4 linked regions of the Pelodiscus sinensis genome follow. The protein of the gene in region 2 purifies or fractionates together with the protein of the main gene of each other region. This does not show direct contact. Links are inferred from orthologs where the notes say so. Each region holds a gene or a part of one and is shown on either strand. Other genes may lie near its edges.

Evidence for each region.
Region 1: the proteins of NOP2 (region 2) and NIFK fractionate together in Homo sapiens (co-fractionation; 3 studies listed by BioGRID, with this or other methods). This does not show direct contact. The link is inferred for Pelodiscus sinensis from reciprocal best matches to the Homo sapiens genes NOP2 and NIFK.
Region 3: the proteins of NOP2 (region 2) and SRPK2 purify together in Homo sapiens (affinity purification with mass spectrometry; 3 studies listed by BioGRID and IntAct, with this or other methods). This does not show direct contact. The link is inferred for Pelodiscus sinensis from reciprocal best matches to the Homo sapiens genes NOP2 and SRPK2.
Region 4: the proteins of NOP2 (region 2) and FTSJ3 fractionate together in Homo sapiens (co-fractionation; 3 studies listed by BioGRID and IntAct, with this or other methods). This does not show direct contact. The link is inferred for Pelodiscus sinensis from reciprocal best matches to the Homo sapiens genes NOP2 and FTSJ3.

What each region holds. Positions count from the first base shown.
Region 1 is NC_134717.1:8,136,315-8,143,604, reverse strand, and holds the start of NIFK (MKI67 FHA domain-interacting nucleolar phosphoprotein), read left to right. Parts: upstream 1-4,290; 5' UTR 4,291-4,342; coding exon 4,343-4,453; intron 4,454-5,607; coding exon 5,608-5,736; intron 5,737-7,126; coding exon 7,127-7,235; intron 7,236-7,290. Other genes in the region: TSN (translin), read right to left, coding at 1,000-1,093, 1,266-1,331.
Region 2 is NC_134711.1:138,758,492-138,766,153, reverse strand, and holds the start of NOP2 (28S rRNA (cytosine(4447)-C(5))-methyltransferase), read right to left. Parts: upstream 3,001-7,662; 5' UTR 2,890-3,000; intron 2,778-2,889; exon of another isoform or gene 2,624-2,777; intron 1,016-2,623; 5' UTR 1,009-1,015; coding exon 903-1,008; intron 746-902; coding exon 700-745; intron 535-699; coding exon 431-534; intron 1-430. Other genes in the region: CHD4 (chromodomain-helicase-DNA-binding protein 4), read right to left, coding at 4,631-4,648. UniProt on the Homo sapiens protein: S-adenosyl-L-methionine-dependent methyltransferase that specifically methylates the C(5) position of cytosine 4447 in 28S rRNA. Required for efficient rRNA processing and 60S ribosomal subunit biogenesis.
Region 3 is NC_134711.1:25,325,902-25,333,244, forward strand, and holds the start of SRPK2 (SRSF protein kinase 2), read right to left. Parts: upstream 3,016-7,343; 5' UTR 2,828-3,015; coding exon 2,538-2,827; intron 1-2,537. UniProt on the Homo sapiens protein: Serine/arginine-rich protein-specific kinase which specifically phosphorylates its substrates at serine residues located in regions rich in arginine/serine dipeptides, known as RS domains and is involved in the phosphorylation of SR splicing factors and the regulation of splicing.
Region 4 is NW_027466048.1:919,295-927,286, reverse strand, and holds the start of FTSJ3 (pre-rRNA 2'-O-ribose RNA methyltransferase FTSJ3), read right to left. Parts: upstream 3,003-7,992; 5' UTR 2,844-3,002; intron 2,365-2,843; 5' UTR 2,290-2,364; coding exon 2,223-2,289; intron 1,870-2,222; coding exon 1,764-1,869; intron 1,025-1,763; coding exon 978-1,024; intron 817-977; coding exon 737-816; intron 403-736; coding exon 303-402; intron 1-302. Other genes in the region: PSMC5 (26S proteasome regulatory subunit 8), read left to right, coding at 3,219-3,302, 4,866-4,937, 5,600-5,669, 6,327-6,424, 7,031-7,087, 7,313-7,543.

The sequences.
Region 1 (7,290 bases), on a different chromosome or scaffold from region 2:
CCCCACTCCAAGGTCCCCCCACTCACCTGATTCACACAGACACATTGCTGGTTATTCCCTTTGTTAGGGAGCAAGGGGAAAGTGCAGTTGCTGCATTCCTCACTCTCACTCTCCATCAGAAGCAGCAACACAGGGTGCCAGGCAGATGCCAGTCCACAAGGGGAACCAGTTTAAAACCAGCTCCCCACATAGATGGGCTACTTGTGCCCCACGTTGCTGCCTTTGATGGAGAGTGAAGAATGCAGAAAACTATGCACTTTCTCCTTGTTCCCTGACAAAGGGAACAGCCAGCAATGTTCCGGGTGGGGATCTTCAGTCCCCTACCCTCCTTTAAGGATGCTGGGGGAAAAAAGGAGTAGAGAGGTGGAATGCCCCCAGCCAGCCCATTTCACCTGCCTGGTGTGTTTCTTTTTTCTGTACAGTTTTATGAGACGCAATCCCATTTCGGGCACATTCCATTTTCCTGACACAATGGGGGAAAAAAAAAAAAAAAAAAGAACTTACCCTGGTTTAAGTTAGCTATTAACTGAATTTGGCGATCCTAGCTCTCACTGTGCAGGAGGAAAGTGATAGAAATGTAGCCGTGTTAGTCTGGGGTAGCTGAAGCAAAATGCAGGACAATGTAGCACTTTAAAGACTAACAAGATGGTTTATTAGCTGATGAGCTTTCGTGGGCCAGACCCACTTCCTCAGATCAAATAGTGGAAGAAAGTAGTCACAACCAGTTCTTGAATAAACAGACTGACACACAGACTCACTCTCTTATATAGTAGAGAAAAGACGTGAAAAGTCTTATGGAAAAAAATTCCTCAGGTTACAGTGGCCAGGTGGAGAGCATGGTCAAGGAGAGGGGATGTGCTTCACACAACCTTGTATGGGGGTCTGACAGCGTCCCTGCCCCTTTGCAGCCTTAGGGGGTGAGCACTTGGGGCGGATGCCGCCTTGCGGCTGTGACGACAGCGCCCGATCCGTTCACGCCCCCAGACACGAGCCACTTACTGTCCTGAAATCCAGCTCCCTGGTGCACCCCCTGCAGCAGCGTCAAGATCTCCCGCGCCGTCTGCTCCAGGGTCTGAACCACCTTCCTGATCTCCTGCAAGCCGACAACACGTCAGGACACGAGGGGGGGGAAGGGACTCCCCCCGCCCCCCCCTCCCGCGCGTGCCTCGGAGCCCCCCAAGCCCCACCGGCCCCGCCCCGCCCCCCGCGTGCCTCGGAGCCCCCCAAGCCCCACCGGCCCCGCCCCGCCCGCGCCGGGCCCTGACCTCTCGGATGTCCTGGTCGGCGGTGAGGACCCCCTGCAGGGTGATGAACATCTCACTGACCGACATGGTGCGCTGCCGGGCCGGGCACGCGGGGCGCCGCCGCCCAGGGGCTGGGCCGCTCGCGACGCCGCTTCCCAACCGCCGCTCGGGGACCTTCCAACGCTCTCGGCGCAAGCTCTATGGCCGCGCGCGCGCACGCTGAGGCGGCTCCGGGGCCCTTCCACCTGCCCGGCGCACGGTAGCCCCCACCTCGTGCCTGTTCCCGCGACATCACCTCGGAAACCTGCCGCACTCAGCGCTGCCGCTGCCGCTGCCACCCACCGCCGGGCTTCCCCATGCCGGGCCGGGACCCCTGCTTCGGAGCTGGGGCTTCCACGGTGCGAGCGCAAGGGTGCCCTACTCGCTGCCTGGGCCGCCGCGCAGGGGTCCTTCTACACTCCCGGCGCAGAGCTGCCTCATTCACTTCCTGGCGCGCACGCCGCGGGAAACAAACCTTGGCCGCAGGCCGCGGGGGGGAGGGGGGGGCGCGCTTGACTGTGCGCAGGCGCAGTCCCTACTCCAGGCGATGCCCGGGAAAGCGGGGCCAGAACGGCTGCTTGGGACGAGTAACCCCTCCCCCACACCTGCCTGTGGGCTGGCATCGCCCCCCCCCAGGGTCTGCCCCCCCCCCCCCGCAGAGGTCCCATCAGCTCCTGGGAGAGAGAGACACACACACACAGCCCGTGGGGTCTCTCCCCCCCATGCCACACACAGCTGCTCAGAGACTCTGTTTGGAGGGGCGTGTTTCTGAAATCCTCCCCCTCCCCCGTGTGAGGGTGGGGCAGACAGAAGCCACGGGGATGGCTGACAAGTCTAGTTTCAGTGGATTTCTCCTCACCTCCCACTGCTAGACTGGGGAGGGGCAGAAAGATCATAGGACCTTTCTTCTTTGCCCCCTACTCAGGGTTGGGAGGCCAGCAACTTCTGGGTACTCTCTCCAATGTGCGCAGAAGTCGGGGAGCAGCATAGGACCTACTCGTATATGCCACAACCCACATCATTTTTTTACAGAACAAATTATGATTTATGTTACTATAGTGCTGAAGAGTTCTAGGCATGGACTACCCACATGTACTAGGTGCGGTACAAACCACAGTTTATGCCGAAGGCCCTTAAGAACAAGCCAGGCAACTCATGGATGAGACAGAAGGTGGACTATAAGTAAATTGGATGAAACTGGTCAGCATGATTAGCACATCAGCATCTGACAGTTGTCCGTAGTTTTGTAGGCATCAGGCAAAGAAAAGTTTTATTGAAGAAATTTGGTTATGGGCCTCCTTCTGTCCCCATTTAAGTCTATATGGGTATGACCCAGATCTTAAGACATATTTTACTCCTGGGGGAATACTGCAGAGCTGCTGGCTGCCACTGCAGGTCCCTGGACTCTAGAGCCCAGCTCTCCACCTTTCATCCGGTGAGGAGGGAGGCTCTGCACTCTGGCTACCCAGCTTGATCCTCATCCACCCAGGGATGGTGTTACCCCAGACAGAGTTCTCAAAGCTCTTGGTAACTTTACTTTGTGTGAGTTGGTGTAAAAAAATATAAATCAGTGGAGACCCAGCCACCAGTCCAATAAAGGGCTGGCACAAACAGTATTATACAAACATGCTCTAAGTAAAAGCTATACTTCATTTAATCTCAAGCATTTTAGACATCTGCAACAAGTTAGCAAAATAGCCTCAGTAATTATTGAAATTTGGTGTGGTACAGTTGCAGCCATCCAACTAGTCCATCTTTAAGCTGTCCTTGAGGGCTCTAAACTGAGTCCATGAATTGATCCCAAAGAGACCAAACCTCTCCCTCTTTATTTCACTTTGTGAGTAAACAAATTACTATCAATTTAAAAACTTGTTAAGCAAGCAGTTTCAAAAGCTAAGCAAGAGGTTTCCTGAAATTACTAATTAGCCAGAGGTATTCCTGCAGGGTTTGCATGCCCTGAGATGCTGACAGTCACATCTCAGAAGGGAAATAGATAAGCTTCTTATTTGTCTCCTAAAATATAGACCCCATCATGTTCAACTGACACTTCATCAAGAAGAGACACAGAATCAGGCAAAGGTATGCTGAGCAAGATGTTTAGTCCTCCTGGCTTAAATCTTGCTAAGTCTGCACAGCCCTGCAAAACAAACAAACAAAAAAAAACCCAAGTTTGGTTGCTGTTAGCAACAAGTATGATATTATACTATTGGTAGCAGTCTCTGACCTTTTACTGGTCTTTCAAAATCTCCCCATACAATGGGATAGGCCTGGGGATAGAGGGCTTCATTGCATCCCTTAGCAGGACTGTAGAGCCGTGGGAATAAAGGCTCTGAAGGGAGGTTCACTAGAGCTGGGGGAGGAGAAGCAGGTACCTTGACCAGGAGAGGGAAGAACACAGCCACCTCCAGCCTCCCCCCAATTGGAAGTGGGTTGTCACCCAGAGTTTCACTCTCTGCTCTTGGAGGAAAGTTTGTTGCTGCCTCTAATGTGACATACTTGTTCGTAGGTATTTTGAACAAAATAATGTAAACTGGAGTATTATAGCATGTTATTGTGACCAAATCTGCACAATTTTAAAACGTGCCCAGGATTGTTCATTTGAGGGGGCAGCATTCTCCTGGGAGCAGGCACCAAACTGGCTTGAGGTGCTGGTCTCTGGGGGCTTCTCTTGTCCTGCTCTGGGGCCTCCTTTGCAGACACTAGTTCCCTGGCACCCTGGCTCTCCAGGGAACAGCCCTCCCAGGGGCTTGCCTGGCTCCTGCCCAGCTCCATTCATGCCCCGGGTCCCGCACTTCCTCTCGGACCGCACCGAAACCAGGCCCCCGGGGAGGGGGACCCGGCTGTCTGGCCTGTGGCGGGGGGGGGGGGGGGGAGCGGCAGTGGCAGCTGTCCCAGCAGGCAAGCTCTGTCCGCCAGAGGTCGCTGTGGCCCTACGTCTGGGCCTGGCCGCTGAGCGGGCGGAAGCTGGCTGGGGGGAGAAGACACTTCCCGTGGCAGGGACCCGGAAGCGGAAGTGACGGGACCGCGCTCCCGGCGTGGGGGTAGGGTGAGCGCGCGGCATGGCGGCAGCGGGGTCCTCGGCCGCGCTCCCGCTCCTCTCTCTGGACCCGCAGCAGCAGCGCGAGTTCCAGGACAAGGTGCTGCGCGTCCGCGCCGGCCGGGCCGCCAAGGTGAGAGCCCGGGTCCCGCCTGCGGGGGGGCGGGGCTGCCGGCCGCGGAGCGCCCCCAACACGCGCGGGCCCCGATGGGCTCGTGGTGGGACTGAGAGACTCGCGCCCCGGGGGGGGGCCGCTCCCAGCTCGGAGGAAGGGCTTGGCGCGCGCCAGGGGGTCTTGGAGAGGACTCCGACCGGGAGGGGAGGGGAGCGGGGGGTGCTGGGTCCGGGACAAGGCTGTGACACGGGGCAGGAGTGCGGGGCTTTGGATTGGCATCTGGGGAAGGGGGTCGGGTTGCAGCGTCTGCCATAGGGATATAAAAGGTTAACTGGTTACCAGGGAAACATTAGCCTTCCCAGCATGCTTCCCTGATAACTGTAGGGCCGGGCCTGCCTGGAGCAAGTCCTCCCCTTCCTGAGCACAGCAGGGCTCACTGAAGCAAGCCTCCCTGCCTGCAGGACCCCAGGACTCCATGGTTAACTGGTTAAACATATTGTTTAACCAGTTAACTTTTTCATGGGTGTAGGAATGGGTGTGCAGGGGGTTTGAGTTATAACCTGGGGCATGGGCGCGGAAAGGGGAGCATTGGGTTGGGGTGCCACATGCAGGCTCTGGCCAGGAAGTGCTTACCTAAGCACAGCAAGTCCCTCAGGCAGGCTCCCTGCCTTCTACTCCCTTATATGCCGCTCGAAGTTGCTGGTCATGGGGGGCCATGTGCTTCTCTGACAGCCATGGGGAGGGGGGATATTTAACATGCTGCCTGCACTGTGGACATGGCTTATGCACTTCCCATTGGGTGGTTTATAGCCAATAGGAGCTGTGAGATTGTGCTGTGGGCAGAAGCAGCATGCAAAGCCTGTTCCCCTTCACCACCCCTCTCCCAGCTCCTGGCACTCAGAAGCACATGCCCCCTGCGACCAGCTGCTTTGAGTGGCATGTAGAGGTGGGGCAGGCAGGGAGCCTTCCCGTGGCTCCTACTGGACTGCAGGCAGGTTCCAGTGGCTTGGTGGATCAGATGCAGCCCACAGGCTGTAATTTGTCCACCCTTGAACTAGAAGTTACTGTACTGATTCCAAATTGGTGGTCTTTTGGCTCTTTGTGTTTAAGGTGGTAAATGCGCGTGAATATTCCTGTTTTTTTAATGTTACCCATTCTTTTCATATTCACAGCATGAGAAGCTGACTCCTGGTGTAATTTATTTAGGGCACATCCCTAGGGGCCTTTTTGAGCCACAACTCCAGGAGTACTTCAGCCAGTTTGGAACAGTCACCAGACTTCGAATTTCAAGAAGTAAAAAGGTAAGAATCTTAACTGATTGGAATTGTCTGGCTTCCTAATTGCAGTTATTGCTGACTTTTGCCTCCTCCCCTATTCTCCTATTTACTTACTTTCCCAATTAGAAGTAACTATTGGCCAGAGGTTATTGGTATACTGGTGGTCTCAGTTTTATTTTTTTATTACACTTTCCCTAAACTTAGTTCACGGGCCTGTTATTCCACATTGAGATGTAGGAAATAGTGGTCAAACTGAACTATGTTTTCTCCTAAATTCTTTTTGTCTCTCTATTGGTATGGATAACACCACCGTCGTCATAATTTTTGAGTCTCTGACCCTTGGATTAATCATTGGGACACCCTCTCAGTCCTTAATCTCACTCCTCCCCACATTGCTAGGGTGTTACCAAGTTCTGCAACTTGCACAACATTTCTAAAATCCAATTATTTGCTATCTCAAAGGCTAAAACACTTTTCTGTGTCTCTTTCTCCAATACTGATTGCTGCAACCTTCTCTCTGGCCTTCTTTGCCTTCAGTCCATCCAAAACCTGGTCTTTAAAGATCAGCTGCAATTTATACCAGGGTAAGAGAGAGCCTGAAAGAGTCCTGCTCTTGTGTTCCAATCATCTATTCTGGAAATGATGATAGACTCTCAGAACACACACAATTGTTTGCTCTACAGGAATTCAGGATCCTCACCCCAATTCCAAATCCTAAAGCCATTAATTGGTTTCACAAACTTTACCATCTGAGAAGCAGACTTTTACTTGGATGTTTATAATAAATGTCTTGTTCTAGAGGCTGATAAAACTTTGGTCGTAGTCTTTAAAACCTTTCAGTTACTGGTTTGAATCCAGATCTGGTAGTTAAGATAACTGTTTTTTGAAGTCCATAATTGACTTATAAGTAACAAGTTATTAGTTTTGTCCATTTTGTAGTGTAGAAATATCACTTAGGGTGGAATCCCTGTTGACAGTATCAAAAGAGGGAAAAATAACTGGCCATTTTATGCTATGGCAAAAGGTGCTTATTCCAGAAAAGGATTGAGACAAATAGGTGCTGTGAGGAAATTTCCCCTACTTCTGTAGATAAACAGAGGCCCCACTCTACTACTCTTAATCTAGTCCCTTTCATCAGAACTAAACATACATAAATGAGAAATTTTATCAGAGTAGTCTAAATCCAGTGTAGAATTCTGAATGAATATAACAGGAGGGACAGTGCATTTTGTGTGTCACAGACTAAGTCTGCCCTAAGACATACATGTGTAATGCTTACCTAGTTTACTGTGAATTGTATATTATAATCTGAGAACAGAATATGACCCTTGCAGCCTGAAAAAACAATCTAGTGTAATTCTTAGACATTATGTGTAAACATAATCTAGATTTCTGATACCATTGTCATTCGCAGACTGGAAACAGCAAAGGCTATGGATTTGTAGAGTTTGAATCAGATGAAGTCGCTAAGATTGTAGCAGATACCATGAACAACTACCTATTCTGTGAAAGACTCCTAAAGTGTGAGTATATGGGACACTGGTGAGCTAGGGAAATATGGACATGTGAACGTATTGT
Region 2 (7,662 bases):
TGCATCCTGAGGTCCAGGATGGCGACCGCTGCATTGGAAGCTGTATACTATGGAGAATCAGGATAGAAAGCAGAAAAGAGTCTGATACTGTCCCAGTGGCCAGGATTACTGAAGAGACGCAATTTTAAACATTTAGGTTTTACAAATTTAATTTGAGCCAAGTCCCTTCTTAGTCCTGTGCAACGCATGCGTTGGAAGCCCTAGCTAGGATGCCCACAGTACGCTGGATGTCAGGTGAGGGAAGCAGAAAGAGAGGTCCATTCTTTGATAGGACACAAGCTATGCCAGACTCCTACTCTGCTCACAGCTGGGGATGAAAGTGAGGAGAATGGTATTAAAACACTCCGAGAAGAATTAGAGCAAAAAGCGTAGACCAACCAGAACTCTTCCACTAGGGAAATAATGAGCAGTCAACTTGTTAAACACACACCCAGGCTGGTGCCATCCATCTCCCCCTCATCTGTTGCCTTTTTTAGCTGAAGCAGATTCCTCCTTGCTTGGGCTTTTCCTGATCCCATTCGCCTCTTTGCAGCCCTGAAAACACATGGAAAAAACGAACACAAGAATAAATGAACTGATAAACCCTTTTACACCAGAAAGCCTAACAACTCCCTCTGACTTGGACCTGCCAGATTGCAACTAGTGTCCTGAATTTTATCCTCTTTAGAGCAGAATTCACTGGTGTACTTGTACACTCACCTTTTTCGTGCATGGCTGGATAATTTTTTTCCACTGCTATCAGTAGCTAGAAACAAAGATGACACAAAATCAAGGAACTGGTACCAGAAGGACAAAGAACAGGATGAGGTCCCTATTTAGGAGCCCATCCAGGTGTGATTGTATATGTAGGTGGGGGGTAGAGAGAGAAGTGCAGAAAATGGTAAAGAAACAAACACACTTACTTGGGGGAAGAAATTTGGCTAATTCTACCTCTGCTCCCTTCTGTTTGCGGGCTTTGCGCCCCGGGCCACGTTTCTCCTTCCTCAGTACATCAAGTTTGCGCCCCATGTTCACCCTGTGGGGTAAGTAATGGAAGAAGAATGAGGAAAACAAACAGAACAGACCTTCCTTCCACACACATTGCAAACTAGGGGGTGATTCCTTTAGGCAGGGGTAGGGTTAGGCCTGGGAGCTAGATCTGGCCCCCAGCTTGCCTTGATTCAGCTCCTGAGGCTCAAAGGTCCCTGCCAGCACTGGGGAGCTGGCATCTGTGCTCCAGCCCTGTGGCTGCCCAGTGGTCTCCCCATGGGGCTGGAGTGCCAGCATCGGCTTCTCCTGTGTGGAGGGAGCGCTTAGCCTCACGGGTTGCAGTCAGACAAGCCAGGGCTGGATTTGAACCACAGACTCTATCTGATGGGCAGGGGAGGGGAAGGAGGAAGTGGCAGCGCAGCAAGGCACTGACTGAAGGCTTCTTCCCCACCAGGCTGATTGGCCGTAACTGTGGCCAATAGGAACAGCAGGGAGCGGGCGCATCCCTATGTGCATCCCCAGGGAGCTGCAGTAAGTAAGCGAACCCATCGCCAAGCCCTTCCAACCCTATTTCGCTCTTGCACCCTACCTCCTTCCCAGAACCCCACCCCATCTTCTGCCCAGACCTCATACTCCTCTCTGCTCCTGCACCTCACTTTCTCACCCAGCCCATTCTTACACCCTACCACCTTCCCAGTCGCATCAATCCCCAGTCCACTCCTACACCATCCCTCCTGTCTAAACAGCATATCCCAAGCCTGCTTCCCACACATTGAACCCATTTTTGGCCCCACCCCAGAGCCTGGGAAGTCCTCAAAATCTACTAGCCCCAGAATGTGGAGAGTGTCTTTCTGCTTTTCAGTTGGGGGCCATGTCAATGAGGTGGTTTTTTCCCCTTGTTTCTCACTTTTGTGCAGCCTCTGACAGATGTCTCTGTGGTTCAGTGGTCTCTAACCCAAAGGGTTCCCCACTACTGCTTTAGGGCAGCAATTCTTCAGCCTGCCTGCCTCTGTGTCTAACACAATGGTTGTCAACCAGGGCTATGTTTCTCCCTGGGGGATACTTCAATTCATCTAGGTATTTGCCTAGTTTTACAACAGGCTACATAAAATCACTAGTGAAGTCAGTATAAATTAAGAATCCACAGTTATTTATTTATACTTCTTTATGGACTGTACACAGACATACAAGTATCAATGTTACATTCCCATTTTAACGCTAGATGATACAATGACAAATAGGGATGTGAAGGACTAGTTGACTATCCAATAAGCAAATGCTTATTTTGGATAGTTGACTAGTCACGTCCCCCATCTCACCCCTTGCTGCTTCTATCAGATAGAGGCAGGAAGGGGCAGGGGAAGAAGAGGGTACTTCAAAGCAGCAGTACCACTTGTAGCCTGGGGCCAGACCCAGGGGTCCACACAGCGCTGCTGCTTTGAAACGCTGCATGTAGCCCACGGCCAGCTGGGATGTCCCGAATCTGCAGGTGGCATTTTCAAAGAGGGGAAGTTCCCAGTTGACCCCGTGTTCCCCATGGGGCTTTTGCCTCTGCGGGTAGCAACAGCCCCACACTTCAAAGGCCAAGGCGCCCTATCGACTAATCAAATGGTCGGTGCAAAAGGGACGGGCTATTCGCCTCGCCAGTTCTCACCATTTAACACCCTCCACACGCGGGCACCCTGGCTCGGACTTGGCCGGGAAGCCGCTTTTCAGTGCGGGGAGACTGGAGGGAGGCGGCAAACGAGCCCGCTGAAGGGGGCAGAGACCTACCCCCCCCCCCCCGGCGCGTTTCTGAGACCGCCGCTCGCCCCCCCGGGACCCCCTTAGCAGCGCCCCCCCGCAGCCCGCGCCTCGCGCCCTTCCTGCCGCCGCTGCCGCCTTCACCCGCCCGGCTCCAGGCCGCGGCCCGCCACCTACCTTCCGGCCCCACGTGCGCGCCGACAGCTCCTTCCGGGGACAGCTCCGCCTCGCAGTGCGCAGGCTCAGCCCCCCCCGCGCTGCGATTGGCCAGGCACCGCCCCTCCTGCCTCCTGCCTCCCGCTCTTCGCACCGCCCCGCGCGCTGCCCCTGGCGGCGGCCCCCCGCCCGTCCAGCTTGGGGCCGAGGCGAGCGCGAGCCGTTCCAGAGGGGCTCGGCCGGGCACTAGCGCGCGCCCCGGGCCCTGCAGCGGCGGGGAGGCGCTGTGCTTAGCCCCACGCAGCGCAGCAGCGGCGCTTACAGCTGCCCCAGGGCGATACAGACCAGGCCGGCGGGCAGGGCCCCCCCCCCCCGCTGTTCGATCATGGCACAAGCTCGCTTAAAGGCAGCCCTCAGCTTTCCCCAGGCTGCAGCGCTAAAGTCAATGACAGCGGCCTGTGGATACTCGCGCCTGCTCCTCCCCTTAAGTGTAATGGAGGAGTAGCAGGCGTGTCTGCCACACACACGGTTTGGCCGCGCAGCTGCTCTGAGTGCACACAAAGTAGCCCTTAGCTAGCTCACAGCACACAGCCCCTTCCGTTCCCACATTGGAAAGATAAGGAGTTAACCTAAAAATGTAGCCACGTTAGAAACAGAGCCAAGGTGATGCTGGCTAGGCCTATACTGACAACAGCATGTGACTTACACCCGGTTTCTTACACACTAGGATGAAAATAACCAGAGAGGGATGTAGGTGCAAGGCTTTCTGTGCCAATTTTCTTGCTGGCATTTTGGACAGTTCTACACTGCACTGAGACACCTGACTGAGGCTGCAGTGGTGTGGAAGCTAAGCTTTGGCACTCTCTTCCCTCCCTACCTCCTAGAGCAGCCAAACCCTCCACAGTGCAATGAAACAGGCTTAGCCTGAATCTGCTAACCTAGGAGAGCAACAGGTTTTTAACTGCAGTTTAGACATTACCAATGCTGAGCTGTATGAATAGCTTCTTACCACCAGCTGATAAGTCAAAAAAAAAAAAATCAGGCAGCTTATTGACCTGAACTAGTGCTCAGGTTGAACAGACCTCCACTAGAGAGGAGGTAGCAGCTCATCACCCATGCAAGGATTGGATAACTTCTCTTCAGTGCTCCACAAAGCCAAAGCTTATGCGAAAGGATAGGCCTTACCATAGTGCTACCATTTCTGCCTTTCCAGCAGACATGCTTACTTATCCTCTAGTATTTCCTCTCCCTGTTACTTGGCACAGCTAACTGCAGACAGCAGAATAAAATACAAGGAAACCTTTATTTTTCAGTTTTATCAAGATTTTTTCCGGTCTTTTCAGCTGTTTTATTAGTGGACAAGTCCAGTCAGTTTTTGTATTAAAAACGATCTTGATGGAGGTAGCTGTGTCTCTGTCCTGGCTTTTGCTTGGTCTCATCTGTACACTCATCTCAGTAAACAAACTCAAAATAAGATTAAAACAAAACATGGAACTCCAGGCTGAAGCAGCGAGCAGTGCAGCCAGGATTCTGTGTAACAGGACGTGGCTCTGTGGCCTCCAGTCACTATGTACAGAGTCCGTCATGTCCCCTCTTGCCCTGGCACGCTCCTAGCTGGTGCAGGCTGGCGCCACAGAGTTTCCTCTCCCACAGGGAGGCCTGTGCAGCAACGTCCGCCAAGGGGAACAGCACCCTCTCAGGAACATCAGGCAGAGGGATAATTTCAGCTTGGTTGAGAAGTCAACAGTACCAAGCCAAGGTCTCATTGCTGCTGGGCCACCTGGGGGGGGAGAGGGGGGGTGAAAAAACATGCATTAGGAGCCTTTACCAAAAGCACCCACCCAGCTGGTACATGCCCTCCTACTAATGAGCAGACTAGAGTGAAGCAAAGTTCTATCAACTAGGGCAGTGTTTCCCAATTGTATTTGGCCAAGGAACCCTTTTCAGAATTTCAAGGAACCCCTAGGTTAGTCAAGAAAAAAAAAAAAAAGGGGTGGCAAAAGGGACCCACCAAATGCATGCAAATCACATTTCCTTCCTCAAGACCTCCACCCCCGTTCCTTGAGGCCTCATCTGCTTTGTTCCCCTCCTCTCCATCACTTGCCATCCCCAGCCCTTACACACTCACTAGGTTGAGACAAGAGGTCTGGGGTGGGAATGAGGGATTTGGGTGTGGGAAGGGGTGAGAAGTACAAGCTCTGGGAGGGAATTTGGATGCAGGAGAAGGGGATGTTGGCTCGGAGAGGGGGCTCCAGGCTCAGGAGTGTTGGGTTCAGGTGGAAGGTTGGGGTGCTGAGTGAGCCATGGGCTTATGGATGTGGGGGTGCTGGGGTTTGGGCTGGATATGTGAGGGACTCAGGACACAGATTTGCCATGTGTGATGGTGCAGGAGTGTGGTGGCAGAAGACTAAGGATGTGGGGCTGCAGGAGTTTGGGGATGTAAGAGGCTCAGGCCCGGGGGTTCCAGTGTATGATAGGCTCAGATTTGGGGTCAGGTGGTGCAGGAGTGTTATGATGCTGCAGTGAGATGGGGATTTGGCCCCAATTGGGGGTTTGTTGGCCAGCCTTCATTTTTAAAAACCCAACAACCCTCCAAAGACCCCCAAGCCTCACTAATGTGGTCCCAAATGTGCTGGTGGGAGCAGGGGACAGAGTGAAAGTGGGTGCTGGGGCTGGGGAAAGGGTGCTGCTGGGTGGAAGGATGCTGGCTCAGGTGACGGGGTGCTGGGGCAGGCAGGTGGCGGGAGTCAGGGACATGGTTCTGCTGGGCACTAGGGTGACTGGCAGGGTGCTACTGGGTGCTAGCGTGGATGGCAGGGTGCTGGGGCCAGGGAGGTGCTGAGTCCTGGGGTGTGAGGCAGGGGGTTGGGGCCAGGGACAGGGTGGTGCTAGGGTGGATGGCAGGGCTGCCAAGGAGCAGGATAGGGATGGGGTGCAAGATCTGAGAGGGAGGTGGGGGGGCAGAAGGGGGCAAGGTCTGGGTGGGAGGTAGGGTGCAGAAGCAGGCTGGATGTAGGGTGTCTGACCAGGGGGAGGAAGCAGGAGCAGACTGGGGGTAGGGTGTCTGGCTATGAGGGAGGGTGCAAGGAGGGGACTTGGGAAGGAATTGGATCTCTCTGAACCGGCACCCTCTGGACCTGACTGGTCCCAGATGAGGGATTTTTGGACCAGGGAGGTCATTTCAGGGCTCCTGGTTCCCGCCCCTCCCTCCTCCCCACTAAGCTTCTTTGCACCTCTATCCCCTGCAACCCAACTGAGCTGCCTACCCCTGCTGGTTCCCTGCACCTCTCCCAAAACCATCCCCCACAATCCAAGGGAGCACAGCACCAGTTCCCTGCAGCCCCCACAGCCCAGCTGAGCTGCCCATCTGTTCCGTATGCCCTCCCCCATCCACCTCAACCCAGCTGAGCCCTGCACTGGTTCCCTGCATGCCTCCCCCCACAGGACTGCTGAGCCCTGTTTCCCTGCACCTCCCCCAAACCCTGCAAAACTGCTGAGCCAAGCACCAATTCCCTGCCCCTCCCTCCACTTGAGTCTAGCCCCAGTTCCCAGCACCTCCATCCTCCTGCAGCCAAACTGAGCTCTGAGCGTGCCACACACACACCCTGCAGCCCAGCCCAACTTCCTGGACCTCCCCACTCTGCAACCCAGCTGAGCTCAATTTCCCTGCACCTTCCCCCAAACCATGCAGACATGCTGAGCCAGCACTGATTCCCTGCCCCCCTCCCCTTGGCTGTCTACACACTGGTGCGATGTTGCGCCAAAGTGGCCACTCTTGCACAAAAACATGCTTCCTGTCTACACTGGCCATGTGTTCTTGCGCAAGTACGCTGACATTCTCATGTATGAAATCAGGGCTTCTGGCACAAGAACTATGATGCTCCCACTCAGGAATAAGACCTTTTGTGCAACTGTTCTTGCTCAAGAGGCCAGTGTAGACAGGCAACATGAATTTCTTGTGCAAGAAAGCCCTGTGGCTAAAATGGCCATCGGCACTTTCTCGGGCAAGAGAGCGTTCACATTGCCATAGATGCTCTTGTGCAAAAGCACAGCTTGCACATGGCAGTGTGGACGTGTTCTTGCACAAGAACTCTTGCGCAAGATGTTCTTGCACAAGAAACCGCCAGTGTAGACATAGCCTAAGTTTCCTCACATGAGCAAAATGAATTGTGTTGTGCACCAGTACTGAGTTCATGTGGCTTGTCTGGATGTGCCACTGTGGCACCCAAGTTATTAATAAATATTTTTAAACCTTTACAGTCTCTCTCTGCTGCCATGTCTCCTCTCCTTGTTCCATCAGCTCCCTTGGTGCCTGCTGCCTCCCAACTCCTCACCCTCCTCTGCTGTCCTGACTCCTGCCCTTCTCACTGCCCTCAGCCCTCCTGCGATCTACCCCCCTCCACCAGCCCTTCTCTCCTCCCTGTGCCCACTCCTCCAATAGCCCCACTCTGATCATGTGAGCTATCCCTCTTCATCCTCTCTTCTAACACCTCCCTCTACAAACCCGCCCTGCATCTCTCCTCTGGTGCTGGTCTCTCCCCTGCAGGTGTCTGCCCTTCTGCTTCACACCCAGAATCCTCTGGCACCTGCACCTTCCCTTAGCCCTGCACCTTCCTGGTGCCTCCCCCTTCCCTCACTGCCCCCACCTCCTTTTCCCTTATGCCCACCCCCTCACCATCCTCTGCCCCCATTCCCCTCATGCCCCTCTGTATCCTCTCACATGACTTGCTCCTTCCTCATGCCCACCCCTTCTTTCAAGCATTCTCCCAGCACCTCCCCATCCCCCCTCTAGTC
Region 3 (7,343 bases), about 110 Mb from region 2:
CAGTTTGTGTTAATACACAAATCCTAGCCTCTCTCCCTCTCTTCCCTTAAGGGTACAACTGACCAGCATCCTCTATTATTGCTCCTGGCCTGGAAAACATGAGACCAAATCAGAGACTATAATTTAGATCTTCCACCAGGGAACTCAAAGTACCAGAGAAGTCCCATATTCATAAATGAAAATGGAAACAAAACACAACGCAAGAATAAATGTGTGCCCAAACATTAAGTTTGGATATAAACATTCTTTATATACCATATATGCTGACTGTGCACAACAGTTAAGGATAATTTCATGTACGCTTTGAATGCTATTTCTTTTATGGTTTAATGTCATTATTTGACAATACAGATTTCTTTCACCAACAGCTTTTAATACTGTAATTTTTGAAGGTCATGGAAGGATCTGAAAGTTAATAGGATACTTAATATTGCTTCCTGCTATATAGTGAATGTATTTTTATATTTGAGGGAAAGAAGTAGTTATTTCACAGAGAGAATGAAAAATCATCTCTGACAGACTTTGTGAAAGTCTTTATTTGCTGATTTCTGACCCTATAAATTATGTAACTAATGTATGGCAACTCAAATCACTAAAATAGTATTCTCACAATGCACAAAAATCTCTATGAATATTGTAAAAAAGTTTATAGTGCATACACAATATCCAGTTTTTTATCTCTTGATCTTTTTAGATTTACCTTTTCCCTTCAAAATACTGAAAACCATGAGGCAACTTTATGGACTATGTACTTGCAATTTATTTTTTTAATCAAGGGCATTGTTAATGGTTCGTAAGCATAAAATGCATCTTTAAAATCCTTGCCTCCTTTTCTAATGATGTATAGCAATACTTTAGGAAGACAGGTCCATGTCCACTAGCCAACTGTTTCTTCCCAGAGATCGTATTGTATTTTATCACATTTTGTTCAACAATAGCTTCCGATTAGTCACTAGTTTTGCCATAGCATTTGAGCTGCTAAAATATAACTGGATTCACTACTTCATCAGGGTACCCTTCACAGAAGCCTTAAAAAAAAAAATCACAGTTAACACCTGTTTCCTGTACTACTTTCACCCCATCATCCTCCTCTCTCCTATCATTACCACCATTTATTTGGCCTAACATTTATAGTCTATGTAATTTTGAGATCCATGAGAATGGATAAACAAAACATCTTATACATCCTTAAGCCTTTTTCATGACTTTCAATTTATGTGTGCAAAAACAACCCAAAGCTTTTCTTACATTTCTCCATTTTGGAAAGGTGACTTAACAACCCACTCCCCCCACCATTTTCTGTATCTCTCTCATTGCTCTGATATTTTGTCATGCTATAGCTAGTGAAAAGCAATATCATGGTTTAGAATCATGTCTTCCCTCATTATACTTATAAATCCAATTAAACTGCTTGTATTGTTTTTAAAGCCATGCACTCCTCACAGCATTCTCTCATTTTAGCCTATCTTCTTTTAACTTGAATTTCCAGTGCACTGCCATTATTTTTATTATGTTCAAACATCATTCATCTATATTTTAGGTAATATCATTTCAGCTAAAAAAAGGCCTGTTTAGGTGTATTATATTACTAATTATAATTCTAGTAACTCATTTCCAAAGTATATAATATTCAGCTGTTCTGCTACACACATTAAATGATTAAATTCAAATAATGTTTTAATTTGAATTGATCTTGCGTTGTCCGCGGATTAAATAATTTTCTGAACACAAGTTTCTATTAAAATAAAATCTCAAGAAAAAGAGAAGTGAACAGGTTTGATTATTAAAAGCACCGAAATAGTCATTAAGAGAACTATTTGCATATAAAAAATCTGAATGTCAAAAATAAAAAATAAGGTTTTAAAATATCTATTTAAAATCAAACAACTATTTATAATAATTTGATTGACATATGAAATAATTGTTCTAAAAACACTTCTGAGTCATTTTGTCCTTACCTGCAGGCATGAACCATTATTACTGCATGCAGTGACTGTTCTATTTCCTAGCACAGACTTGAAGAAGCATCACATCTATTTTACAGAATGTGACTAATTTGTGTGTTTGCAATTCCTAAGCTATTTGGAAAGGACACTCCCTTTCAACATAACAGAATATTTAATGCTTAGCACACTGATACTTTCTACTAATCTAAATCTAACAGCAACCTTGGTAACAGTAAAATTATTTCCTCTAATACAAAACAAAAAATCTAATTTTTGAAACTGAATTTAGAAGTCAAGATGCTTTTGGGGTGAAAACAAAAAAATAGAACACAGCCTGCAACAACAATATACATAAACCAGTAGTCTGCTGTATTACGATTTGCATGCTGCTGTTTAGACTTCAGTAAAAACAAAAATAAATAACCCTTTGCAAAGACACAAACCTTAGCCAAAAACAGAGTCATTCAATACATTACAATAACCAGCATGCAATACATCAACAATATTAGCAAACAGATAAGAAAAAATGCCCTATGCTGCTGCTTTACAATGCCACACCATTAATTCTTCGAGCAAGAGATGTAGCTGTACCTTTCTGAAGAGGACGACTTCTCAGAGTTAACTGACATCAGCAGCTCAATCTTCTGCTTGATTTCTGGAAAAATCAAAAAATATTCACAACCAAGATTGCCTGCCCTTGTTTTCCAAAGTCTTATTATCAAATAATTTTTTTTCCTAATCCCTTTTGTTCCGAATGAAGCCACAAGATTACAGTACTTCTGTAAGGACTGATTCAACCGTGCTCTAAAGGGAAAAGCTCCAGAGGCATCAGGCCTTGCTAAACTATGCACATGACTGTTTATGAAAGCAGGAAGTACCATTTCTTTTAAGCAGAGGGGTGGTTCCTCTTTTGAGGTTGAGCTAACATATTTACTAGATGATTCTTATCATAACAATTTACAAACCACTGCACAAATTCCAGCTTCTAAGAAAAATCAAACAAATAGTTTGGGGAGTAAATTATTTGCAGCTTTGCTACCTAAATGTATTTACTACCCTTCAGAACCTTCATTTTAAAAAGCCCTGAAAAATATGGCTCTTTGAATTATTTTTGTCACAAAGAATGAAGTGTTAAATCACTACTTTAGTATATGGATCAGAAATCACAGACAGGCTATACAAATGTCTGAATTTCTTAAACTGATATTACCAGTACTCTTTCAAATATACTTTGAATGCCAACATTTAAATTTGCCTTCAATTTTTTATTCCTAATACCTTAATTGCCCCTTCTAATGCTCACAACCAATGATCAGCAAAACCCATTAACAGAGCAGGGCTGATACATAATACTTGTCCTAAGAGAAATGGCCTAACAATGACATCTAGAACAGAAATATTGAGAGCCAGATCAATTTTACTGCTAGACTACTGTTACAGGAGGAGAAGGGAGGAGAGAAAGAAATAGCCTCATACCAACTGCGACTTCTATATCATGAGATCTCAAAACCAAATACACATGGATGGTTTTAAAAAATAAATTAAGATTATCATGTAGCCAGAAGCTCTGTTACTTAAATGTTTCAGATGAAAACCAAAGGATACTAACATAATAAAGTTGACTGATTATAATTTTAAAATCATATTATAGCAGAGCTGGATGCACTAAATCTATTTAATGTTGTCTGACACTTCCCATTCTAAGACCCTATTTTCAATTGCTTACAACATTACTAAACTTTAAGTATTCAGGCTCAAATTTCCCATTCCGGAGATATGCCTCAGGGTGCTGCATTTATTTTTCAGCTGAAAAAAAGTTCAGCCATTAACTTTAAGGAAAAGTATGTTTTTCCCATGTTAAAAAGAAATCTTACAACCATCTCATTGAGAAGCTCTAGCATTTCCAGGCTTTTGGAGCAAGGTCTTGAAATGTAAGAGGCAGTAAGGTGGGGGTTGGAGTCACTCTGCTGATGGAGACGTGTCATTTTACTTTCCCCAAATTGCACAAATTTGGCGAATTTATAAACCTCCAAAAAGGTTTAGTTTACACATGCGCAACAGAAAACTATTAGAATTTGGTAGCTAAATTTTCCAGAGTCCATGTCTACATTGAGCACACTCATCGTGGGGTTTCAGGGATTGAGCACAATTTTCCCAACTACAGGTTGAACCTCCCAACTCCAGGATTCTTTGATCCGGCAACATCCATGGTCCAACAGGGCCTGGCTGAAGTGGACCTGGTGGAGGCAGGTAGCCAGAATCCCCAGCAGCAGAGGGGCAGGGCAGCTGGGTGGCCTGGCTGGGGAACCGCCTCCAAAAGCAGGGCCAGCAGTGACCAGGTGGCCCCAGCCGGAAACCTCAGGGAACACCCCGCATCAGCAGAGCTATCAGAAGCCAGGCAGACCCCGGGGTAGCAGGCAGGCAGCGTGGGAGGGGGAGGAAGTCGTGCATAACCAGTGTTCAGGGAGCCAGCAGCAGGGCATGGATTCCCAAGGACAGGAGCCCAGGAGTGGGGCAGCCAACAGGGGAGCAGGTCCTGAGGGTGACAGACCAGGGAGGTCCGACCTGTATTACCTTTCCCAGCTGCTAAGGTAGAGATGATAAGAAATGAAATGCACCCGCAATGTACCACTGATGTCTCCAGGCAGTAAGAAGGAGGAAACAACCTGAGCAAATGCAAAGTGGAAAGCAGCATAGGAGAAGGAGCTGCAGGCAACAGAGGGGAGAGAAGAATTGGGAGGAGCAACAGTCACATGCAGCAAAAGAAGGGGAAGAGCTGAGGCATAAAGTTGGATAGAAGTAATGAAGGGCAGTAGCAGGGTGAAGGGGGCAAAGAGCGGGAAGGAAAGCAGAACCTGCAATACACAGGACCAAAGAAGCACAAAAACTAGAACCTGTGTAGGAGATACAGAGAAGCACAGATGGAGGAGGGCAGAAGACAAGGTGTGAGAGGGTGGAGAGGAGCCAATAGGGACAGGGACAGGAGCTGGGGTAGGAGGGACAAAGTCAGCCTGAGGATAAGGAGGTAGAAAGCAGGGGCAGAAGGATCTAGTACTATTAGACTACCATTCCCTACAGAACCTGGAATTGAACCCAAAAGTCCTATGTCTCTACATCCTTCTGCTATCATCAAACAAAAGCAAAATCCACTGGCAAAGAATGTCTCTCAATCCCCTCTAGTGGCTGTTCCACATGGAGGACAACAGCTGACTACTTCTATCACTCTTAGCTCAAGTAGTAGAGATCGTGTTCGTCTAAGCTGTGTTGATGCACAGAGGCCTAATAAGCCTCTTTCTGGCTTAATAATAACCTTTCTGGGCTGGTGGCAGTGAGTATCCACAGTTTCCTTCCCACACACTTTCCACCCCCTCCTCCAAAAGTGCCCCATCCCTGCTCCTCCTGCATGCCACAGAATAACCTACCTGAGACAACACATACGATTCTAGTATACTTAGATGTAGCTGGTCAAAGCCATCAAAATCGCTCCACCTGGAATTTACTTTGGGCTTGTCTACATTTGATGTGCTGCAGCTGCATCGCTGTAGCACTCCAGTATAGACATTACTCATGCCAAAGAAAGGAGTTCTCCCATCAGTGTAAGGTGGCTTCCTAAGGCTATAGCTAGGTGGCTGGAAAAAATCTTCCATCTACCTAACACTATAACAGAATCTCAGAATTACAAACACCTCAGGAGTGCAAGTTTTTTGTAACTCTAAAATGTTCGTAACTCTGAACAAAACATTATAGTAGTTCTTTCAAAAGTTTACCACTGAACATTGACTCAATACAACTTTGAAACTTTACTATGCAGAAGAAAAATCCTGCTTTTGAACAATGTAGTTTAAATAAATCGAGCACAGAAAGAGTTTTTTCCCTGTCAAATATTTTTTTAACTCCCTCCCCCCTTTTTTTTAGTAGTTTATGCTTAACACAGTACTGTACTATACAGCATTTGCTTTTTGAGGGTGGGCAGAGGGTCATCACTGCAGCTGCCAATTGCATACATGTTGAACCTCTCCAAATCGGGAATCTGTCCAGCATCATCATACATGATCCGGTAGGACCACGGATGTTTCTGGACCAGGGAGCCCTGGCAGCTGGGAGTCCAGGGGCAAGGGGCCAGTGGCAGTGAGGGGTCTGGGCTGGTGGCAGTGAGGCCAGTACAGTAAAACTCCAATGGTCCGGCATCTGATGGTCCGGCACCATCAGGAACCCGGAAGTGCTCCGGGCAGCCGGACCATTGGAGCTGCTCTGCCCCCAGCTTCCCCGATTCAGCCGGTGCTAAAACTGATCAGCACTGAATCCGGGAAGCAGGGGACAGAACAGCTGGAGTGCTGCCGGGTAGGTCCAGTAGCGCTGCCCCTCGGGGCTGCGGGACCAACCCAGCAGCACCCCAGCTGTCCCGGATTCAGCCGCTGCTGAAATTGACCAGCGGCTGACTCCAGGAAGCCCGAGACAGAGCTGCTCTGCCCCAGCTTACTGGAATCAGCCGCTGGTCAGTTTCAGCAGCAGCTGACTTGGGGACACCTGGGGCAGAGCAACTGGGGTGCTGCTGGGTTGGTCCAGTAGCGCCGCTCCTCGGTGCTGTGGGACCAACCCAGCAGCCTTCCAGCTGCTCTGCCCCAGGCGTCCTGATTCAGCCGCTGCTGAAACTGACCAGGGCTGACTCCAGAAAGCCCGGGGCAGAGCAGCTCTGCCTCTGGCTTTCTGGAGTCAGCCGCTGATCAGTATCAGCAGCGGCTGACTTGGGGACACCTGGGGCAGAGCAGCTGGGGTGCTGCTGGGTTGGTCCAGTAGCGCCGAGAAGCAGCGCTGCGGGACCAAGCCGTCAGCACCACAGCTGCTCTGCCCCAGGCGACCCCAAGAGCAGCTGGGGTGCTGACGGGTTGGTCTCACTGCGCCAAGGGTCGGCGCTACCTGACCAACCCAGCAGCACCCCAGCTGCTCTGCTGCAGGCGCCCCAGATTCAGCCGCTGCTGAAACTGACCAGCAGCAGCTGAATCGGGGACTCCTGGGGCAGAGCCGGACTATCAGAAGGGAGGGCTATGAGGGGGTCTGAGGTAGCATCCGCCCACCCCACCCCAGACCCCTCATAGCCCCCCCTTCTGATAGTCCGGCATATCTGATAATCTGGCACCCCCTAGGTCCTAAAGGTGCCGGATTATCGGAAGTTTACTGTAGTTAGGAGCCCTGCCAAGCCAGTGGCAGGGAGCTGGCAGCTGTGAGGCCAGCCAGAACCCAGCAGCAGAGGGACTGGTGGCAAGGAGCCCTGCCGGGACAGGGAGCCCTGCTGAGCCAGTATCAGTGGGACTAGAAGTTGTGCCGGGGTCAGGGGCCAGGTAGGCAGGTTGCAAGGGGGCAATCATTGACCTCCCCTAGTCTGGCAAACTTCCTCGT
Region 4 (7,992 bases), on a different chromosome or scaffold from region 2:
CTGGGTCTGCTGAGACAACCCCCCAGAGACGCCCTCTGTGCAGCAGGTCGTGCTCCTTTCCCTCCCCTGGGGTTTCCGACCCTCCACCTGCCACTGTGCCCCGAGCGGGTGAGCCATGCCAGGGCCCCGATCCCTCGGAGTGGGCTGACCCCGCGGACCCAGTGCTGCTGCCCCGGAGGCCAGGGATAATGGAACACAGGACTGTGGAGCTGGACTCTGCCTGCGCGGCACCAGGGGCGTGGGATGGGCAAGAGTCCTCGGCCATCGCAGGGGCCGGGCTGCCAGCAGAGCAAGGGACGTACCTTGGGAGTAGGCGTCGTGCACCCAGCTGGCCCCCACGTTGGGAGCCCCGTCATTTAGCACCACGTCCACCTTCCACGTCTGCAGCTCCTTGCGCAGGGCCTGGGCAAGGGCAGGGGGTGAGCCTGGGACGCCCTCTCTGCCTGCCAGCCCCCCTCACGTGCCCCGCAGCGGGGGGAGGGTGTGTAGCGAGCCTGCAGCCCCTCCCCCCAGCCAGGCCTCTCCACTGAGACCCAGGCTCCCTGCCTCTAGAATCCACAGCCCAGAACCGAGCAGTGAGACGCCCCCAAGTTTCGTACCCTCCGTGGAGTCGGGGGAGGTGGCCTGGAGGGTGGGTGGACATGATGCGCCCTTCCCCCAGGCAGGGCCGAGGGAGATGCACCAGAGCACCTGGCTGTCGGGGTTTAGCAGGCGTGGGGGGCAGGGCAGGAATTACCTGGCGACACTTCTCCGTGGTGATGTCCTCCTGCAGCGTCACCACGTTGGGGATGGGCTTAATGGGGACCAAATCCACCCCTAGGAGAGAAAGACTGAGCATCTGCTGGACCCCCTCCCCATGGGGGCATCCCCCCCCGAGGGACAGTGTCCAACCAACCAGCCCCACAGCAACTGTCCTGTCTCACAGGCCCAGCCCCGCGGAGTCCCGGCCTGCCCCCCCGCAGGCTTCCATCACTCACCAACGATGAGGCTGGAAACGGGCATGAACTTGGAGGCCACCTGCAGCCTGCGGAGAGGAGAAAGGCCTTAGCTCCCCACCTCACCCCCTCCCTGCCCCACAACGCCCTCCCTTGTCGCAGCCTCCAGGGGGCTGATGGGAGAAAGCCAGGCCACGCTGGGCTCCAGAGCCACTTCCTGGCACTCACCCTTGGAATCACCCTGCCCCAGGCTGGTCCGAGACGGGCTGAGCCGTGGGGATGGAGGCTCTGCCCTCATCTTTCCTGGCTGAGGCCTTGTATGGAGGAGTTAGACTGGGGCTGCTCCCTGGGGCTGCAGCCTACAGGCGGGCGATACACCAGCAGCAGCTCCAGGACTAGCACCCCTCTCACCAGCAGCTGCTGGCTTTCGAAGCCGCCCGCTACAGAGCAGTACCCAGGGCTTGGGGCGGGGCGGGGCAGCACAGGCCTCCTTGGAGTCCAGCACATACAGCAAGTTGGTCCCTGGCGGCAGCAGCCTGTTCGCCAGCCCTGGGAGGAGGCAGCTGTTGGACAGCGCCTGTCCCTGTCCCAAAGCCATGGGGATGCGGCCACCAGCTCACTTGCCCCAGAGGCAGTCGGCTAGCTGCCGACGGAGCCCAGGACGCAATCTGACCTCACTGGCCAGGGGCTCTGGCCCTCCCCAGGGCCCAGCTAGCCGGGTGCAAGCGAGCAGGCTGGAGCTGCATCAAGCCAGGCAGGGTGTTCCTGCCTCTGGCACCCAGAGGTAACTGCTGGGTTCTGATGATGCAGTCGTGGCTGGTCACTCACCAGCCGCCGGGGGCTGCGCACAAGTCCAGCAGCGCGCGGGATTTCGGCAGGAACTGGAACTTGCGATTGAGCTGAATCAGCTTGAAGGAGGATCGTGAGCGAAACCCTAAAGAGAGGAAGGGTCACAGCTTTACGGTGTCTGGGTGGGCCCAGCTGTCCCTGTCCATGCTCACCCACCTCTCTACCTTCAACTGGCGCCAGCCCCTGCCCTGGGGAAGCTGGCAGTGGCTCCGGCACCCGGCCAGAGCAATGGGGGGAGGAGGCGAGAGGGGCTGAGACCCCTGGGTGCCCATCACCCGCTCCTCAGCAGTTGCAGCAGGGCAGGCACGAGGAGACAGGCAGACTGAGCGGCGATGGGGAGAACAGCCCGGCCCTGCTGGGGGTCACGGCCCCGCAGAGGCAGGATGTGGGGGCTGGTGGGCACAGCCGCCTCCCGAACTCGCCGCCCGCCCCGCTCACCGGTCTCCTTGGCCAGGCGGTAGAACTTGTCCCGGCGGCTCTTCCCCACTTTGCCCTTCTTGCCCATGGCGGGGCCGGAGGAGCCCGGCGGCTCCGCTCGCTCCTCGGGGCCGGGCCCCGCGCTCCGCGCAGGCGGCGACCTCTGCACGGAAGGGAAGCGGCGGCGCCTCGAGTCACCCGGTCGGGGGGGCCAGGCCCAGGCCCCAACGGCCCCGCGGAACCAGCCGGGGGCCTCGGGCAGCCCCGCCCTACTCCAGTCCCCCCCACCGCCCCCTCTCGCCCCGCCCCCATCTACCCCCTCCCCCCCCTCTCGCCCCGCCCCCATCTACCCCCTCCCCCCCGCCGCCCCCTCTCGCCCCGCCCCCATCTACCCCCTCCCCCCCCGCCGCCCCCTCTCGCCCCGCCCCCATCTACCCCCTCCCCCCGCCGCCCTCTCGCCCCGCCCCCATCTACCCCCTCCCCCCCCGCCGCCCCCTCTCGCCCCGCCCCCATCTACCCCCTCCCCCCCGCCGCCCTCTCGCCCCGCCCCCATCTATCCCCGCCGCCCCCCCTCGTACCTCCGTCCTGCCCCCCCATGTACCCTCCCCCCACTCCCACCCTCGCCCCCCCAACCGCTCCTACCTGCCCCCCCGCGCCCGAAACGGGCCCCTGGCTCCCAGACCCGGCTGCTGGGTCCCTCGCACGCGCTCGAGCCAACGGCCCCCCACACTGCCCCGCGCTCACACTGACTTCCACTTCCGGTGCGACCGGACCGCGCCACCATCTTGTGAGTGGCGTCCAGGCGGGGCGGGGGAGCGTTCTCGCCCTACAGACCCTACCAAGATGGCGGCCACCTGACCCGCGGCCTTGTCACCACGCGTGCGCACTGCTGCCAGTGACGTGTTATTGGGACCGGCCATGCAGCCGCAGAAAGGAAATGACGACAGCGCGCTCCTACCGGGAAAGGGTAGCGGCGGCGGCCATCTTGGTTGTGGGCAGAGCGCGACGTTTGCCCATATGCGCCTGCGCAGTGCGCGGCCCCCAGATCCCGGTGCTGCTCCGATGCCGGCGGAGAAGATGGCGCTGGACGGGCCGGAGCAGGCGAGACCCGCGAGGGGGGGCGGCGCGGGGAGCGGGGGGGTCCCCTGGGCCGGGGTCTGCTGAGTCAGGCAGGGCCGCGGGGGGGCGGGGTGGGGGGTTGGGCGGGGGGAGGATAGAGGAGGGGGGAGGGCAGTGGGGGGCTGGGCGGGGGGAGGGTAGAGGAGGGGGGAGGGCAGTGGGGGGCTGGGCGGGGGGAGGGTAGAAGCGGGGGGAGGGCAGTGGGGGGCTGGGCGGGGGGAGGGTAGAGGAGGGGGGAGGGCAGTGGGGGGCTGGGCGGGGGGAGGGTAGAGGAGGGGGGAGGGCAGTGGGGGGCTGGGCGGGGGGAGGGTAGAAGCGGGGGGAGGGCAGTGGGGGGCTGGGCGGGGGGAGGGTAGAGGAGGGGGGAGGGCAGTGGGGGGCTGGGCGGGGGGAGGGTAGAGGAGGGGGGAGGGCAGTGGGGGGCTGGGCGGGGGGAGGGTAGAGGAGGGGGGAGGGCAGTGGGGGGCTGGGCGGGGGGAGGGTAGAAGCGGGGGGAGGGCAGTGGGGGGCTGGGCGGGGGGAGGGTAGAAGCGGGGGGAGGGCAGTGGGGGGCTGGGCGGGGGGAGGGTAGAGGAGGGGGGAGGGCAGTGGGGGGCTGGGCGGGGGGAGGGTAGAGGAGGGGGGAGGGCAGTGGGGGGCTGGGCGGGGGGAGGGTAGAGGAGGGGGGAGGGCAGTGGGGGGCTGGGCAGGGGGAGGGTAGAGGAGGGGGGAGGGCAGTGGGGGGCTGGGCGGGGGGAGGGTAGAGGCGGGGGGAGGGCAGTGGGGGGCTGGGCGGGGGGAGGGTAGAGGAGGGGGGAGGGCAGTGGGGGGCTGGGCGGGGGGAGGGTAGAGGCGGGGGGAGGGCAGTGGGGGGCTGGGCGGGGGGAGGGTAGAGGAGGGGGGAGGGCAGTGGGGGGCTGGGTGGGAGGTCCGGGCTGGGGGAGGGACAGAGGGCTCCGTTGCTGCAGATGCTGCTGCAGAGCCAAAGGGCTCCCCCCCCCCCCCCCGCAATGGGCCCCGCCCCCTTGGGGGGCTGCCCTGGATGGCAGTTCTGCTCCCCAGGCACGGGGCTGCCTCTCCCTCCTTTGGCCCCGGGGCGGGGGCCCCACCCTGACCCAGGCTCCCCAGAGTCTCCTGCCTGGGCCTTTCCCAGCGCTGCGCCGGCCTCAGGCTCTCGCGCCCGGCCCCTTGCCTGCGAGCCGAGCCGCTGGGCCCCCGGAGACTGGGGGGTCCGCAGAAGCGAACGGGCCCCGTGGCGCTGGCTCTCCTTGGAGCCTGGCGTCTCTCTGGCAGCTCCAGGCCCGGTTTCTGCAGAAGGAGCCGGTGGAGCCAAGGGCCTGTCCTGTGAGCCAGCACCGCCCCGGGCTCCGGCCGAGGCTCTCTGGGCAGCCTGGGGCTGCCTTCGCCTCAGATCAAGCCTGTGCAGACCCTGAGCTCCAGCCGGGACGTGGGGGCTCTGGGTTCCCGCTGCCAGCCAGCACAGACCTGGAACAGCGCCCTCCTCGGACTGTCGCGGCCCAGCCCAGCCTCTCCTGGGGCAGGGCCTGACCTGTGCTGTCTCTGCAGATGGAGATGGACGAAGGCAAAGGGGGGACAGGCCTCCGCCAGTACTATCTGTCCAAGATAGAGGAGCTGCAGGTGAGATGCCAGCCCCACGCGGCACATATGGGGCTTCTGGGCCACAGGGCTGGGGCCTGGGCCGGGCGCCATTTGTGCTAAGTGGCGGGTGGAGGCTGCCGGGCTGAGGCTCTGCCCTTTGGTTTGCGGCGGGGGGCCATCCCAGACGGCTTCCACGGGAGCCAGCTGCCTTCTCGGAGCATTGCCCGTCGGGGGCTGGAGTCTCGGGGCTCCCGGCAGGAGGGGCAGGCTGGGATCCAGGGATTGGCAGGCAGATGCAGGGCCCTCCTAGGGCGGCGTCTCCAGAGCCAGCAGATCCACTCCTCAGAGCAGAGCAGAGTCTGGTAACAGGCGGGCGAGGGGGTCGTGGCAGTGGTTTGCCGTGGCAGAGGCCTCTTGTCCAGGCGTCAGGGTTGCGGGTGGTACCCCAGCGCCTGCGGCAGGGACAAGTGACCCTTGGAAGGGGGGAGGGGAAGCTGTTCGCTGCCCCTTCTGGTGCTGGGCTGCTTTCCCCAGCGCTTCCTGCTGGAGGCGCTAGGGAGCAGCCTGGGCGCAATGGGCAGGCGGCGGAGCTGTGGCCTGGCTTTCCCAGGGAGGAGCCCACGCAGTCACTGGCGATTAGCCCGTGCTCGGCAGCCAGCCGCCCCTGAGCTGGGGGCTCAACCTTTCTCCTCTCCCCAAAGCTCATTGTGAACGAGAAGAGCCAGAACCTCCGGCGCTTGCAAGCGCAAAGGAACGAGCTGAACGCCAAAGGTAGGGCTCGTGCTGCCCTCCCCGCCTGCTGGGGGCCCCGCGCTCGGCTCCCCCTCCCCCCAGTCCTTCCCTCCTGGTTGCTGGGCGCCTGCCTCGGCCGTGGGCCCCGTGAGTGGCTCCCCCCAGTCTTCCCCTCTCAGCGGCTGGACGGCTGCCTCCCCCTCCCCCAGTCCTTCCCTCCTGGCTGCTGGGCGCCTGCCTCGGCCGTGGGCCCCGTGAGTGGCTCCCCCCAGTCCTCCCCTCTCAGCGGCTGGACGGCTGCCTCCCCCTCCCCCAGTCCTTCCCTCCTGGCTGTTCACCTTTCCTGCACTTGGCTCCCCTGAACTGGTGCGCTGAAAACGAGGAAGCCAAGTCCCCTCCCTAGGAGCCCGGCTGGGTGGGAAGGGAGCTGGTGAGGGGTGGCCAGCGGGAGGGTGAATTGTTCAAACCCCCACTGGGGGATTTCTTGAGTTCCTGCCGGTTTTAGCCTCTTCACTTGTACCCGGGGGAAGCCGGGTCCCCTTCCCCACACCAGGGCCTGGCAGGGAAGGAAGCCGGCGCTGACTCTGGGGCCCAGCCACTGTCCGCGTGGGTCCTGGTCGGAGCCCCACAAGGGCTGCTGTGGCTTTGCCCCGCGTGGCCTGGCCGGGCCATGGCTGACTCCTCCTTGTGCTGCAGTGCGCCTGCTGCGGGAGGAGCTGCAGCTGCTGCAGGAGCAGGGCTCCTACGTGGGCGAGGTGGTGAGGGCCATGGACAAGAAGAAGGTGCTTGTCAAGGTACGGTGCTGGGGCCTGCTGCTCGGGGCGGGGCCAAGGCCTGGCCTTGTGGGGCAGGTGGCCAGGCGCAGGCCTTCAGGGCAGTGCTGCCTTGCCTGGCTGCTCTGGGGTCACTCCCCTGTAGATCTGTGGGGCAGCTCGGAGGCGCCAGCGCCGGGGGAAGGGCTGTGGTGCCTGGTGCAGGCTCCCTCCCTGGGCAGGAGAGGGGTGAAGCCAAGGGCAAGGTGACTGGTCTTGTCCTGCTCAGCCGAGGGCTCCCCTCCCGGGGCGGGTGTTAGGAAAAGCTTGAGTAGGAGCAGCCCTTCTCCAAGCCCTCGGGGCCTCGCTGAGCTCACCCCTTCCCCCAACACCTGGGGAGCCCCGCACAGGCTGTGCCTTGCTGTCCTGGAGACCCTCAGTCCCTGGGCCTGGGAACCTCCAGGGGGCTGCAGAGGCCCGTTCTGGGGAACTGCCCCAGGCCCTAGCCCTGGCTGCAGAGAGCCCCACCAGCTACTGAGCAACCCCCAGGCCTTGGCTCTCCTGCGCGGCCTCGGCGGTGGGCAGGGGCTGGGCAGGGGGCGGGCGCTGCTCCGGCCCCACCCCACAGCTCTCTGCTCTCTGTTCCAGGTTCACCCGGAAGGGAAGTTTGTGGTGGATGTTGATAAAAACATTGACATCAATGACGTGAGTACCAGGCCCCTCGGTGAACCCGGGGCTGGGCCGGCTTGGCAGCAGCTGCCTCCCCTCGTGCCCGTCCTCACGGGCCGGCCGGGGACAGCAGAGGGCGAGGCTCCTTCGGAACAGCTGCTGCTGGCGCCGCGCCAGGCTGGGGCCCAGCAGGCGGCTCCCCCCCGCCGGTGCTGAGGCGAGTGGGGCCGTGCGGCAAGTTCCTGCCCCTCGTCTCCACAGGTGACCCCCAACTGCCGCGTGGCGCTGAGGAACGACAGCTACACCCTGCACAAAATCCTGCCCAACAAAGTGGACCCGCTGGTGTCCCTGATGATGGTCGAGAAGGTCCCGGACTCCACCTACGAGATGATTGGCGGCCTGGACAAGCAGATCAAGGAGATCAAGGAAGTGATCGAGCTGCCCGTCAAGCACCCGGAGCTCTTTGAGGCCCTGGGGATAGCCCAGCCCAAGGCAAGCCCCTCCAGGCCAGGGAGGCACCCACCCGTGTCCTGCCAGAGACTCCCCCCCAGCTCCCAGGAAGTGGGGGAGGGACCAGCTGGCGCTGCCAGCCTGGAGCACGGCCAGTCACTCTCCCCTGCCACGTGCTCCAGTCTCTGGCTGTGCGGGGGAGGGAGGAGTCGTCACTCCCGTCCCGGGCGCTGGGATCCCAGTGCCTGCTCTAGCCCCGTCCTGCAGTGCCGGCTGGGGGAGGGACTCAGTCATCCCAGAGGCCTCAGCTGTGCCAAGACCCTGGCCCAGTGCAGCTCGCCCCCTGCTGGCAGCAAGGCCAGGACCGAAAGCGGGCGCCTGGGCATCCTGCTGTCCCAGCCCGTCCTGGGGGTGGCGGCTCCTTGTCCATGCTGGGGTGGGGAAGGGCGAATCTCAGGGAATGCAGCAGCCTCACCCTCCCTGTCCCACCT